Tamandua tetradactyla: one gene and its partners. The protein of the gene in region 2 purifies or fractionates together with the protein of the main gene of each other region. This does not show direct contact. Links are inferred from orthologs where the notes say so. Each region holds a gene or a part of one and is shown on either strand. Other genes may lie near its edges.

Region 1 (3,746 bases), on a different chromosome or scaffold from region 2:
GACTAGCTCGGTTCTGTCACCCATCTCGGACCGCACCCCGTTCCCAAACCTGTGCCCATTTCTTCCCCGCCCCCACTGTCTGTAAGCTTGGGCTTGACCTTGTTGCCTGCGTCTACCTGCTGGCTTCATCCCCGCGTCCTTGCAGCTCACATCAATTTGTTGGTCCTACTCTAGGCCCACCCTACGGGTGTGTTCCCCACCCCCTTTCGTCCCAGTTGAGGCCTATCCCATTGTTTTACTTCTCCAACCTTCTCTAATCAGGAGCCCATCACATCAGAGTTCCCCGTTCAAACTGGTTCCCGGTGCTAACTGGAACCTTGCCCCACACCCTTGTTTCCCCCTCCCCTTCACTCCTGTCTTCTACTCTTATCTTCTGTTCTATACTCCCACATGACTCCTGCCTAAATTGCCTTTTCTCTGCCTGGGTTTACTTTCCCCTCTCATTCTCACCATTCTCTGTTACCCCTACACCTGCTTCATTTCACTCATATCTCATCCCTATCACTAGCATCACCTACTCTCCTAGAATCTTCTGGCTTATCACCTCTCTCAGTTTATCTGATGACTGCCCCTACCTTCCCCTCTAACAATAATAATATTAGGTTGTTTACTGAGTGCTCACTACTTGCTGGTCACTGTTTTAAGTGTTTTACATATGAGATCTTATTAAATCTTTAAGTCAACTTCAAGAGGTAGGTATACATATTATCACCATCTAGCAGACATGGAAACAGGCTCAGAGGTTAAATAACTTGTCTAAGGCTTTGTAGATGGAAAGCAAAAAAGCTAGAGTTCAAAGGGCATTCTTCTGAGCGAAATCTGTAATAATACCCCACCATCTCTTGGAGTCATCCCCTACTGTCTCAATCCCATGGTTACCACCCTTTGACTTAGATACAGCGTAAGTATGAACTGGGACCTGGTCCTTTTCTCCCATACTTTTATGTGATTCCTAGGTCCATTTTCCCCACCCTCACAATACTCATATACTCTCCCCATCCAGCCATCTGCTCCCACATCCCAGCCTTCTTTCCATCTCCATTTTCTGAATCTCCCGAGGCCTACTGCTTTATATTCCACATTCCACATTTGCCTCTTCATTTATATTACTTGTCCTGCCCCTCCTCTATATCAACTTTCCTTACGTGTTCTGGCCCCACTGTCTCACATGCTGCTGTCCTTCCTGCTCACTCATGCCATCCTTTTAGTCCTGATCTGTATCCCTTAGCCACCCTGCTCTTCTGCTTAGACTGTCCTGCTTAACTGTCACTCTTCTGTTACCTTGTCTTTTACTCTTCTTATTCTCTTGTAATTTCCGTTTCTTTAAGAAATGCAGGATATCCTCTTGCTGTCCTTTTTGCTGTCCTTACTCCATTCTCCTTCTCCTATAATTAAGTCCCAGAGTGTGTTCAACTATTTATCCCATCCTATATCTGGCCCTTTTTTTTGGCCTCTGAATTCTACCTGCAGCCTACCAATTACCCCCCTCCATGTCTCTAGACTCTTGCCCCTCCAGGTACTCTTATCCCTTTCCTATACTGCTTTTATATTTCTCATTATGTGTCTCAGGAGGTCAGGATGGTGGGGACATGGCGTGCCGGGGACATCATGGTGCCCTTGGGGTCCCAGCTGCAGGCATATCCTGAAGAACTCCTTCGACAGCGGCCTGGACATGATGGGTGTCCTGAATACCTCATCCGATGGACTGTCCTGAGGTGTGAAGAAATTGGCAGAGTGGGTGTGGACTCCGAAGGCAAGGCAGAGCACATCTTCATGTGGTTGTCAGCCCCTGAGGTCTACGCCAACTGCCCCATGCTGTTAGGCGAAAGAGTGCTATCTAAGGGACCTCAGCATGAGCCTGCTGGGGTTTCAGGAAGTTTTCCCAGGGATCCAGGAGGCCTGGATGAAGTGGCAGTGGGAGAGATGGAGGCTGATGTACGGGCACTGGTATGCAGGGCTGCCAGGCAACTGGCAGAGGGTGGGACCTCTAGCCTCACTGCCGCTGTGCTCCACACCATCCATGTGCTCAGTGCCTATGCCAGCATTGGGCCCCTCACTGGGGTCTTCAGGGAAACGGGAGCTCTGGACCTGCTCATGAAGATGTTGTGCAACCCTGAGCCTCAGATCCGTCGGAGTGCAGGCAAGATGCTGCAGGCTCTGGCAGCCCATGATGCTGGTAAGAGTCAGCCGGGGGAAGGAGAACATTGGAGAGAATGGGCTACAGGGAGTAAGAACAGAAAGAGAAGAGCTTCCCCAACTCTGTAAGAGAACCTAGTATTTGGCGAATATCAATTCAATGCAAAGGAAAAGTATAAATTAATAGGCTATTGCAGGTACTATATAAACAGGATGAAGTGATAGCACCTGGTTTTATCTGTCCTTTTCCAGTGCAATGGCAAAAAAGAGAATGGGGTAAATTTGCATTTTTTAAATTGTGAGTTGAGATTTATTGGTTGTGAAATCAATTTAGTGGATTTTAAAAGAAACGTAAAATATCAGAGAACAGCACTTAATAAGGATAAGCTCTGTAGCATGAAATGTGTATTTCATTTGTATGTACACTTGCTTGTACTGGGGTTACAATGTGAAATGTGCTTCTTACTGTGGTTCTCAGTCTCAAATAAGTTTGAAGCCCTCTAGGGTAGGCAGTAGAGACTAGAAAAAGCAGGGGGGGAGGTATTGGGGCTTGAAGAGAAGATATGGTTTGGGTGTGGATTACAGGGAGTCGGGCTCATGTCCTTCTGTCGCTGAGCCAGCAAGATGGCATTGAGCAGCACATGGATTTTGACAGCCGCTATACTTTGCTGGAGCTGTTTGCAGAGACCACATCGTCTGAAGAACACTGCATGGCCTTTGAGGGCATTCATCTGCCTCAGGTACCCCAGCTCTGTACAAGGCCTAGGGCATCTGAAAGGTGGTTCAGGACTGTACCTCAGCACCAGAACTACTTAGAAGCTTGTTAAAGTAAAGGTTTATGTACCCCTCTCTACCCCAGATTTTCTTAGGATCTCTGAGATTAAAATTCAGGAATCTGTATTTTTAAGACATTCCCTTTTTGTTTCTTACACAAACCAGCGTTTGAGAACTACAGGCTTAGGGATGAGACCTTTATTTTTTTCTGTAGAGGATGACATTGAGAGGAAAGGGGAGGAGCTAAAGCTGGGAGATGAACCTAGGCCAAGGATTATATCCTACAGATACCAGGAAAGCTACTCTTCTCCCTGGTGAAGCGCTACCTGTGTGTCACTTCCCTCCTGGATCAGCTGAATAATAATCCAGAGCCAGGGGCTGGAGACGGAGGCTCCCACTCCCCCGCGAGGGAGGAGTTCATCCGGGAGAAAAGCCGTGCTCAGCGGAAGCTGGAATTCTGTCTGGCTGTGGGCAACCTCATCTCAGAGCTGGTGCGGAACATGGGCTGGGCCCGGAACTTCAGTGAACAGGGCGCTTCGCCTCCCCGGCCGGCCCGATCCATCTTTCAGCCCTGCGTTTCGGGCCCCAGCCTTTTACTCCCCACCATCATCAGCACCCCCGGAAGGCAAGGGCGGGCTTTTCGCCCGCGCTGTGAATTCTCAAGCCGCAGTGGCTATGGTGAGTACGTGCAGCAGACGTTGACGCCGGGGATGCGAGTGCGGATGCTGGACGATTACGAGGAGATTAGCGCAGGCGACGAGGGTGAGTTCCGGCAGAGCAACAACGGCGTGCCTCCTGTGCAGGCGAGTGAGCGCATGGGCATGGGATACTATTGA
Region 2 (3,746 bases):
CTCGACAGAAATTTTAAGTACGGCGATCCCAGATAGGTCAGCGTAACTATAGCGCAGGGAGCTCAACCGTGACAAGAAACGAGGGAGAAGGGCCCTATGTTTAGATGAAATGGTGAATGTGTACTCAAGTGAGTACACATTGAGTGTGTACTCAAGTGGGGAATGTGTACTCAAGTGAGTTCACTGAAATCGTGGACCTTAAGCAGAGGCCATCGAGAACCATCTAGCATTACAAAGCAGGCTGGAGATGATTATCACCCAGGCTTCTGACCCTCCTCCACCTATTTCTGGCGGGGGGGGGGGGGGCAGCGGAGGGGGGTGAAGCGCGGAAGGAAAATGCCAGCTCACTCTGGCCTTGAGGAGAAGGCTCAGGCATTTCTTCCCTCCTCTTCGAATCCCTGAGCCTTTTCCGAATTGAAATCAGGAAACCAAACGGTGCTTGGGCCGGGGTTTGCCCATCCTCAGGCCTCCCAAGGTGGCTGCACCTCCGGCCTAGCTCGGACGCGGGTCAGGATCTACCAAAGGGCAGTGTGGGGAGCCGAAGACGGCGAGCGGTCCACCGGCACAGGGAGCGGAGGCTGGGCAGAGCCTGGGCCGCACGTCGCGGCCAAGGGAGAGGAAGAAGCCGCCGCCCCAGCAGAGGGAGCGTGGAAGCCCGCAGAAGGCGACTAGCGCGGGTCTCCTCCAAGGTTTCCTCCGGCTCGCTCACAGCGCCTCGGCCCCGCCCGGCCCCGCCCCAGCCGCCCAGGCCACCGCCTCCTCCCTAGCCGACGCAAGGGGGAACCTGCTCCAGCGCCTTTAAGAGGCGTGTTCACGTGCTCCGCCCCATCTGCCCCTCGCGCGCCAGTCAGTGGTGGGGTGCGGGAGGAGGTGCTTGGGGGAGGGGAGGATGGGGGCGGGCGGCGCTGCGCAGGCGCAGTGGCCAGGCGACGGAGCGTGAGTTTCCAAAATGGCGGCAGCGATGGACGTGGATACCCCGAGCGGCACTAACAGCGGCGCGGGCAAGAAACGCTTTGAAGTGAAAAAGGTTGGGTCTCGCCAGCTGCTTCCTCAAGGAAGCTAGACAGGCGCGGACTTGGCTGGCAGGCCCGAGGGTGACCGAGGCGCGAAGAAAAGGGCTTCATTTCAGGGCGTTCCTGGGACCGGGTACCCCCGAAAGGAAGCCGGAGGGTGGGTCTTAGGGTTGATCGGCGTGTCTGCGACCCACTGTCAGTGAAACTATTGGTTTCGCTCTTAGGCTGAGGGTCCAATCACTGAGGTGTTTATTGAACTACTCCGGCTTGCGACTTGGTCGCGGGAGCCAAGCGCCTGAGCTGTCACTGGAGTGGTTGAGGGGTGGGGGAAGTAGAGAGTGGGGTGGGTGGATGGGGGAGTCGGAGCTACTGCAGTGAGTGGAGGATGGGACAGTGCGGCGAAAGCCGAGAACCTGAGGTCCTACCGCAATGGAGGTTTCTGTAGAGCTGGGCTTACGATCTCCTTACCCCGCCCCTTTTTGAAGCTTTGCGGTCCCACTGACTGAGGGATCCCGACGTTGTCCTCGCCTAAGCAAGGCCTCTCTGCCCCATCTCTGGCCTTCACCCCCACCAAGTTAGAGTCTCATTTCTTATGCTTGGCTCTTTTGATTTGTTACGCATCCGTCTCAGTCTTGTGGTTCTCCGTCATGTCCAGAAGCCACCCCCTATTCCCCCCAAAAGCATATGAAGCCCAAACCTCGTAGCGTTTAGGAAGGGTTGAGTACGAGTTGCGAATGGCCTGTTAGAAGTGGGAAAGCAAAAATGTTGAACGTGTCTTTGCATGAAATCCCTTTTAGTGGTTTGCCAACAGCTTGGGAGAAAAGTGTGGATTTCCACCTAAGATGAAATAAATCTATTCAAAATGAGGATTTTCAAATAAGGAAGCTGTTATTCCTGGAATATCTGGCTAAACACTAAAAATATTCTCCTAGTGCTTTTTTGCGTCTCGTTATGGGCACTTCATGCCCAGTTACAGCCAGCAGCCATATTGAAGATAGTAGTAGACTTTTTTCCTCCAAATTGAAGCTGTGGGGTAAAAAGTGCTGAAGAAGTTGCTAGACACTGAGATTTGGCTTGCAGGAGATGAGGGGGTGGGAGTGGTGCCAAATTAGTGGATGAAAAAGGCCTTGGGAGTATTTATAGTTGCAGAAGCAGAGGTTGAAATACTTAGATACTGGGTTTAGATAAATTCTTAGTGGAATTATCTCAGTCATATGTAGAAGTGGGCATATAAAACTTGAGAACATTTGTTTGAGAGTAGGAACTAAAAGTTCAGTGAATTCTAGAGTTTGTTATGGAGCGATGCTGTAAGAAATAAGTGGTAACATTGTTCTGTGTACTAATACTGTTGGTATTTACCCACTTCAATCCAAGATTACCCATTTTATGCTCCGGTCATCATCTTAGTTCATTCTCTTCCTAGCTTTCACCTCCCCACTCATGCTTCCAAAGCTGCCTTTAAGAGCAGAATTTATCTATGCAGACTGATCTCTTGTGCATCTGCCTGGGGAACCTGCACAGTGATGCAAGTTTGTGCTTATTAAGACTAAAACAAGCCCTTAAAAATTATTCCTGATTGCTGACATTGAAGTGGCTGACTAAATATTTTTAGGTCTGGGAAAAAATTAAATTAAAAGATGATACATTAATTTCATGTGCTTAACATTTTGGAGAATGGACGAGATTGTATGTAGCCTATTGTTGTCCTCTGGTGTAATAAGAGTAGTGTAATATCCAGAAACTCTTGTTTGGTGGTCCATGTGGCCAAAGAAGATGTTAACTCCAGCTGCAGTACGAAATTCTAATGTGTGTGTAATATGTTACAAGGGAAGTGCATTGTTCCCCCTTTTCTCTCTTTGCAGTGGAATGCGGTAGCCCTCTGGGCCTGGGACATTGTGGTTGATAACTGTGCCATCTGCAGGAACCACATTATGGATCTTTGTAAGTAATTGGAGGAGCATGGGAGCAAGTTGAGAAGGTTGCAAGGATTGTTGCTATCCTGATGTGATCAGTTTTCTTCTTCAGGAAAGATATAAAACATAGTGCTTGGGGTCTTCTGCACCTGGTCTCTTGGTGTGTTTGAAACAGAATAGTTTTTGGATTGTCTTGAAGACATACCCAGTTCTTAAAATAAATCAACTTGCTCTAAAGAGAGCAAGGCCACGTTTAGAATGAATTGTGGACACAGGGGCACTGTAGATTCTTTCTCTTTATATTTCCTATCTCCTACCCAGACTCAAAGGCAGAAGTAGTAAAAGGAAGAAAATAAACTTTGAACTAAAATATTCTGTCCAAGCTAGTTTTTGCTGGGTGAGATGTGTAAAGAAAAGAAGCTGAAGAAGTAAGGATTTGCAACTTTAGCCCCATACCTAGTAAAAAAGACATCACTACCAACATCTAAATAGGCAATTAAATTCACTAAAGAAATTTGATTTAAATCTCTATATATTTATTACATAAGGTGATCAAAACATAGTGAATCTGATTGTAGCTGTTAACTGACTAATTTAGTATCCTTGTAGTAATGGGAGGGAGAAGATTGATTACACTGAAACAATTGAGGTTACTTTTTCATCCACATACTAAATTGGTTTGCTAATGAAATCAGAAATCAGGCAAAGAAACTTCAAGGTTCTAGAATTGAAATTGTGTTTTGTTTTGTTTTGGCATAGGCAGGGTCGGGGAATTGAAACCAGGTCTCCCACATGGCAGGCAAGAAAAGGGTACTTACTT
Region 3 (3,746 bases), on a different chromosome or scaffold from region 2:
GGGGTGCATAAACATACGAAATGTAAATTACTTTCCTGCACCTCTAATTTGGCTTTCTGAAAGTATCCCTGAAAGTTCTTATAAACTTCAACTTTAAAATGAAAGGAAAAATATTTCTGGAAAAGAATTAAATATGGAAACTTTCTCATAAATTAACAGAGAAGTGACGATAACTCAAATAATCAAAGCCTCAAGCTAAACTGCCCAATAAAAAGTGCAATAATTTAGACATGCTTCTCAAGAAAGGAAAAAAAATGCGTGAAGGAAAAAAATGTAACAATTTTTATAAACTGGTTAAAGCACTAAATGCTCTGGAGACCCCTAGTAAGTTGTGATTCATAAAAATCCAGAATTTCCTGGTTGACTGAAATCTGTTAGTGTCCTCCTGACAGACAGGAACTGAACCAAGGAAATTTAGAAAGTTTAAAAAAAAAAATCCTGTATTAATAGGTAGCAAAACAGAAAATTTTCAAGGAAGACTGCAAAAAATGAAAGGAATTTTACTTTCAATTCAAAAAGTAAGTAAGTAGGTGGTTACTTGGGCATCTATATATGAGAGTTCCCCAGAAACAACTACAGCGCTGTTTCACACTAGGTGTACCAGGAAAAAAGAAGATTAGAGATGTCCTTTATGTGCACATATGCTCTGGCTACCTTTTCTTTTGCCAATTGCAGGCCCAAAAGGCGTTAAGTACCCACTCTGGAGTAAGGCAAAATTCCTCTAAGAGAAACTTGTACGCTTGCATAATACACACAAAGCACTAAAACAAAATACTGGACTACCTAATACCTTCCCCCCTCGGTGAAGAATAAAGGTACTGTCTCACCTATACACTCCCAATACTCCTGGGAAACATGAGCAAAACTCCAAGAAGAAGCACCGGCATCCTCCCACTTTCTAATCCCAACTTTCTTTCCCGGGGCCACTCACACTTTAGGAGCGAAGAGTAATGACGGTGGAGCTGAGAAGGTGGGTTGGGTCCCTTCCTCCTTCCGACTGAGGCGGCGGCCGCGAAAAGCTCCGGTGCGTTACCGAGGAAGAAGCGGTGCTAGTGTCGCTAAGCCAGGTGGCCACCCGGGTCTCTTCCGTGCCGCCGGTGGAAAAGGGGTGGCGGCCCCTCTTGCCTCCTTTTTCCTCTTCCTGGGTCTCTTCAGGCTGTGGCTCCAGCCCTTCCAGGGCCACTTCACCCGGGACAGTCACGTTGGGGGGACTTGGGATTTTATTTTTATAAAAAGTTTTCTCTGGGCGGAGGCTGCGGCCGGCCCCCCGGATCCCCCCCAGCCCCGCCGCCCTCGGGCTGGGGCGGGGGAGGGGGCACTGAGAACTCCTCCCGGAGCCCTACGGAGGAGCCGGGGGGCTGGCGACTGGCCAAAGGAGAAGACCCCCGAAGGGGGTGGGGGAGGGGGAAGGTAAGGAAGGGAACCTCTGCGCGGGTCCTGCTCTCCCCGCCACCCGGGCCGCCTCTTCACATCGGGGCCCCCGCCCCCCCGATTGGGGGGTGGCTGCTGAGCTTGGAGCCCCGGCTCATATATTCCAGGGCGAGATGCTACGGCCCCGGGTGGACGGCCGAGGCGGCGGCGAGGTGGGGGACCTGGCCGGCTCCGCTCGGCGCCGCCCCCGCTCCCGGCTCCCGCATGTGTCGCTGCGACTGGGACCCCCTCCCTACACCTTGGGGGTCCCTCGCCCCGCGTCCCGGGACGAGGCAGAAAGCTCCGGACCCTCCTCAGCGTCCTCTCACCGCGGAGTAGCTGCCCAGCCCCGACCCAGGGTAGCCGCCTCCCTGCCCCCCCAGCCGCGGGCTCCGGCTCCGGCTCCGGCGTGTGCAGCCGCTGCTGCCGGCCGGGAAGGTGAGGGGGGGGGGGGGAGAGGAAGGGCGGCCGCGGCTCTCGCTGGCCCAGGTTAGGGCGGAGGTTTCGGTGGCGGCCAGTGCACGGAAGCTGAGTTTCTCGGATGCTCCCTCGCTCTCACTCTCTCGGAGGCGGTGGCTGTAGCGCCCGGAGCGCTGCTCGCTATCTCGCTCGCTCTGTGCGGGGCTCTCGCCTCACTCCACAGAGAGGGGCGGGAGGAAACCGGCGCACAGCGATGACGCAAGTCACCTAGCAACCGCTCTCCTCCCCCCTCTGCTTTGAAGCTTCCACCGCTAGCCTTTTTTTTTCCCTTCCCACCCACCCCGACCTGGGGAACTCTGGCGCACTTTGATGACGCTCAAGGGGAAGAGGAAGTCGAGGATCCGAGAGCGGGTGGGTGCGCCCGGGACCGCGGGACTCGCCGCCGCTGCCGCCTCTGCGATCGCGTCAGAATAGAAGAGAGGAAGGGGAGGAGCCGAGTTGAGCCTAAGCTACGGCCTGATCTTACCCCTGACCCTAGAGCGTGACTGCTCCTTTGGGGGCAAGGAGGAGGCCCAGCCGTGTGGCCATGCTCCGGCGCGCACCACTCGAAGGTGAGGCATTTGGCCCCAAACGGGCCCTCAACAAACCCGACCCAGCGAGAAGTTGACGCCTAATTCACCGCATCTGCTTCGAGGAGCGAGCACTCCACCCTTCCCGTGGTGTGGGGTGAGACTTACAGCCAGATAAAGTGTGGTGGAGAGCCGCAAATTTGGTGAATGAATGAATGAATGCCTACGTCCCTTGGCACCCAAAGAGCTCAGAGGAGATGATAGAAGTGCAAGCGCTTTGTAAACTGCGATGCATTATGAGGAAAGTTATAATGCACCCCCTTTCCTCCATGAAAGGAAATGTGGTGTGGCTAGAGTAGAGAGTTACTCCCTGCGTCTTTGCAGAATTGCCAGGGAGGGCAGTTGGGGAGAGGCGAGGAGGAGACGGATGGCTGGGGGGGTGGGGGGGGAGGTAAGGAGGAAAGAGCCATACTCCAGGAGAATGTTGCGTCGGGGAGGGGGCGGTGTGAGGGGGAGGAGTATTGGAAAGGAACCATCCTTCCGGAGATCGTAGAAAGATTTTTGACTGTTTTTCTAGAGGAGAATTTAGCAATGCCTCACTGTTAGAAATCATTCTTGCTTATGGAGAACTTCTTGACCTTGTCTTGGTTGTCATTCAGTGTCCATTACCCTCATCAAGTAATTTTGGCCTGCGTTTCACATGTGGCTGAAAGTCTCTTTCCTCTCTGAAATAAATGTTATTACTGTTATGCAGCTTTTCCTACAGATGTTATTCTGGAAGGTCAATTCAAGTAATAATTCATAAAGTTAAAAAGGTCATTCTCTAGGAAAAGAAGTAATATAAAAGAACCAAAATCTTCAGAAATCTGTCCTGAATCTGTCCTGGTGAATAGTGTAAGCATGCGATAAAAGCAGCAGCAATGATGAAAGGAAGCGAATTCCACAGTTCTGTCACTGGACCTCGCACCCCCTACTTCCTCTGGAAGCAGCAGTAATGGAAGTCTTTTCCATTACTATTCCTCTATGGAGGAATAGAAGCAGGAGTATTGCAAGCAGATTTGGAAACTTGGGGTTTCTGCCAGTGCTACCAGCACCATATGCAAACTGTTGACCAAGGAAACTTCTAACTTGGTAAAACCAAGGGCCTGGTTTTTGCTTTTGTTTTAAAAGCTGCAGAAAAGAGGGAGAAGTGGAGACATTCTGCAGAAATAACACCTGACACTCCTGCCCTTGAACCCAAATCCCAAGAGCCAAGTTAAATAAGAGCCTACTTAAGTTACCCTGCATTTGATTCCAAATGAGACTGGGAATCAAACCACCAAGTAATGGCCCCAAATGGCTACAAAA

The links.
Region 1: the proteins of RBX1 (region 2) and CUL9 purify together in Homo sapiens (affinity purification with mass spectrometry; 5 studies listed by BioGRID and IntAct, with this or other methods). This does not show direct contact. The link is inferred for Tamandua tetradactyla from reciprocal best matches to the Homo sapiens genes RBX1 and CUL9.
Region 3: the proteins of RBX1 (region 2) and FBXW7 purify together in Homo sapiens (affinity purification with western blotting; 8 studies listed by BioGRID and IntAct, with this or other methods). This does not show direct contact. The link is inferred for Tamandua tetradactyla from reciprocal best matches to the Homo sapiens genes RBX1 and FBXW7.

Annotation. Positions count from the first base shown.
Region 1 is NC_135331.1:100,758,426-100,762,171, forward strand, and holds the start of CUL9 (cullin-9), read left to right. Parts: upstream 1-1,549; 5' UTR 1,550-1,578; coding exon 1,579-2,176; intron 2,177-2,721; coding exon 2,722-2,876; intron 2,877-3,197; coding exon 3,198-3,713; intron 3,714-3,746. UniProt on the Homo sapiens protein: Core component of a Cul9-RING ubiquitin-protein ligase complex composed of CUL9 and RBX1. The CUL9-RBX1 complex mediates ubiquitination and subsequent degradation of BIRC5 and is required to maintain microtubule dynamics and genome integrity.
Region 2 is NC_135333.1:34,063,703-34,067,448, forward strand, and holds the start of RBX1 (E3 ubiquitin-protein ligase RBX1), read left to right. Parts: upstream 1-893; 5' UTR 894-949; coding exon 950-1,027; intron 1,028-2,875; coding exon 2,876-2,954; intron 2,955-3,746. UniProt on the Homo sapiens protein: E3 ubiquitin ligase component of multiple cullin-RING-based E3 ubiquitin-protein ligase (CRLs) complexes which mediate the ubiquitination and subsequent proteasomal degradation of target proteins, including proteins involved in cell cycle progression, signal transduction, transcription and transcription-coupled nucleotide excision repair.
Region 3 is NC_135348.1:14,758,002-14,761,747, reverse strand, and holds the start of FBXW7 (F-box/WD repeat-containing protein 7), read right to left. Parts: upstream 2,135-3,746; 5' UTR 932-2,134; intron 1-931. UniProt on the Homo sapiens protein: Substrate recognition component of a SCF (SKP1-CUL1-F-box protein) E3 ubiquitin-protein ligase complex which mediates the ubiquitination and subsequent proteasomal degradation of target proteins.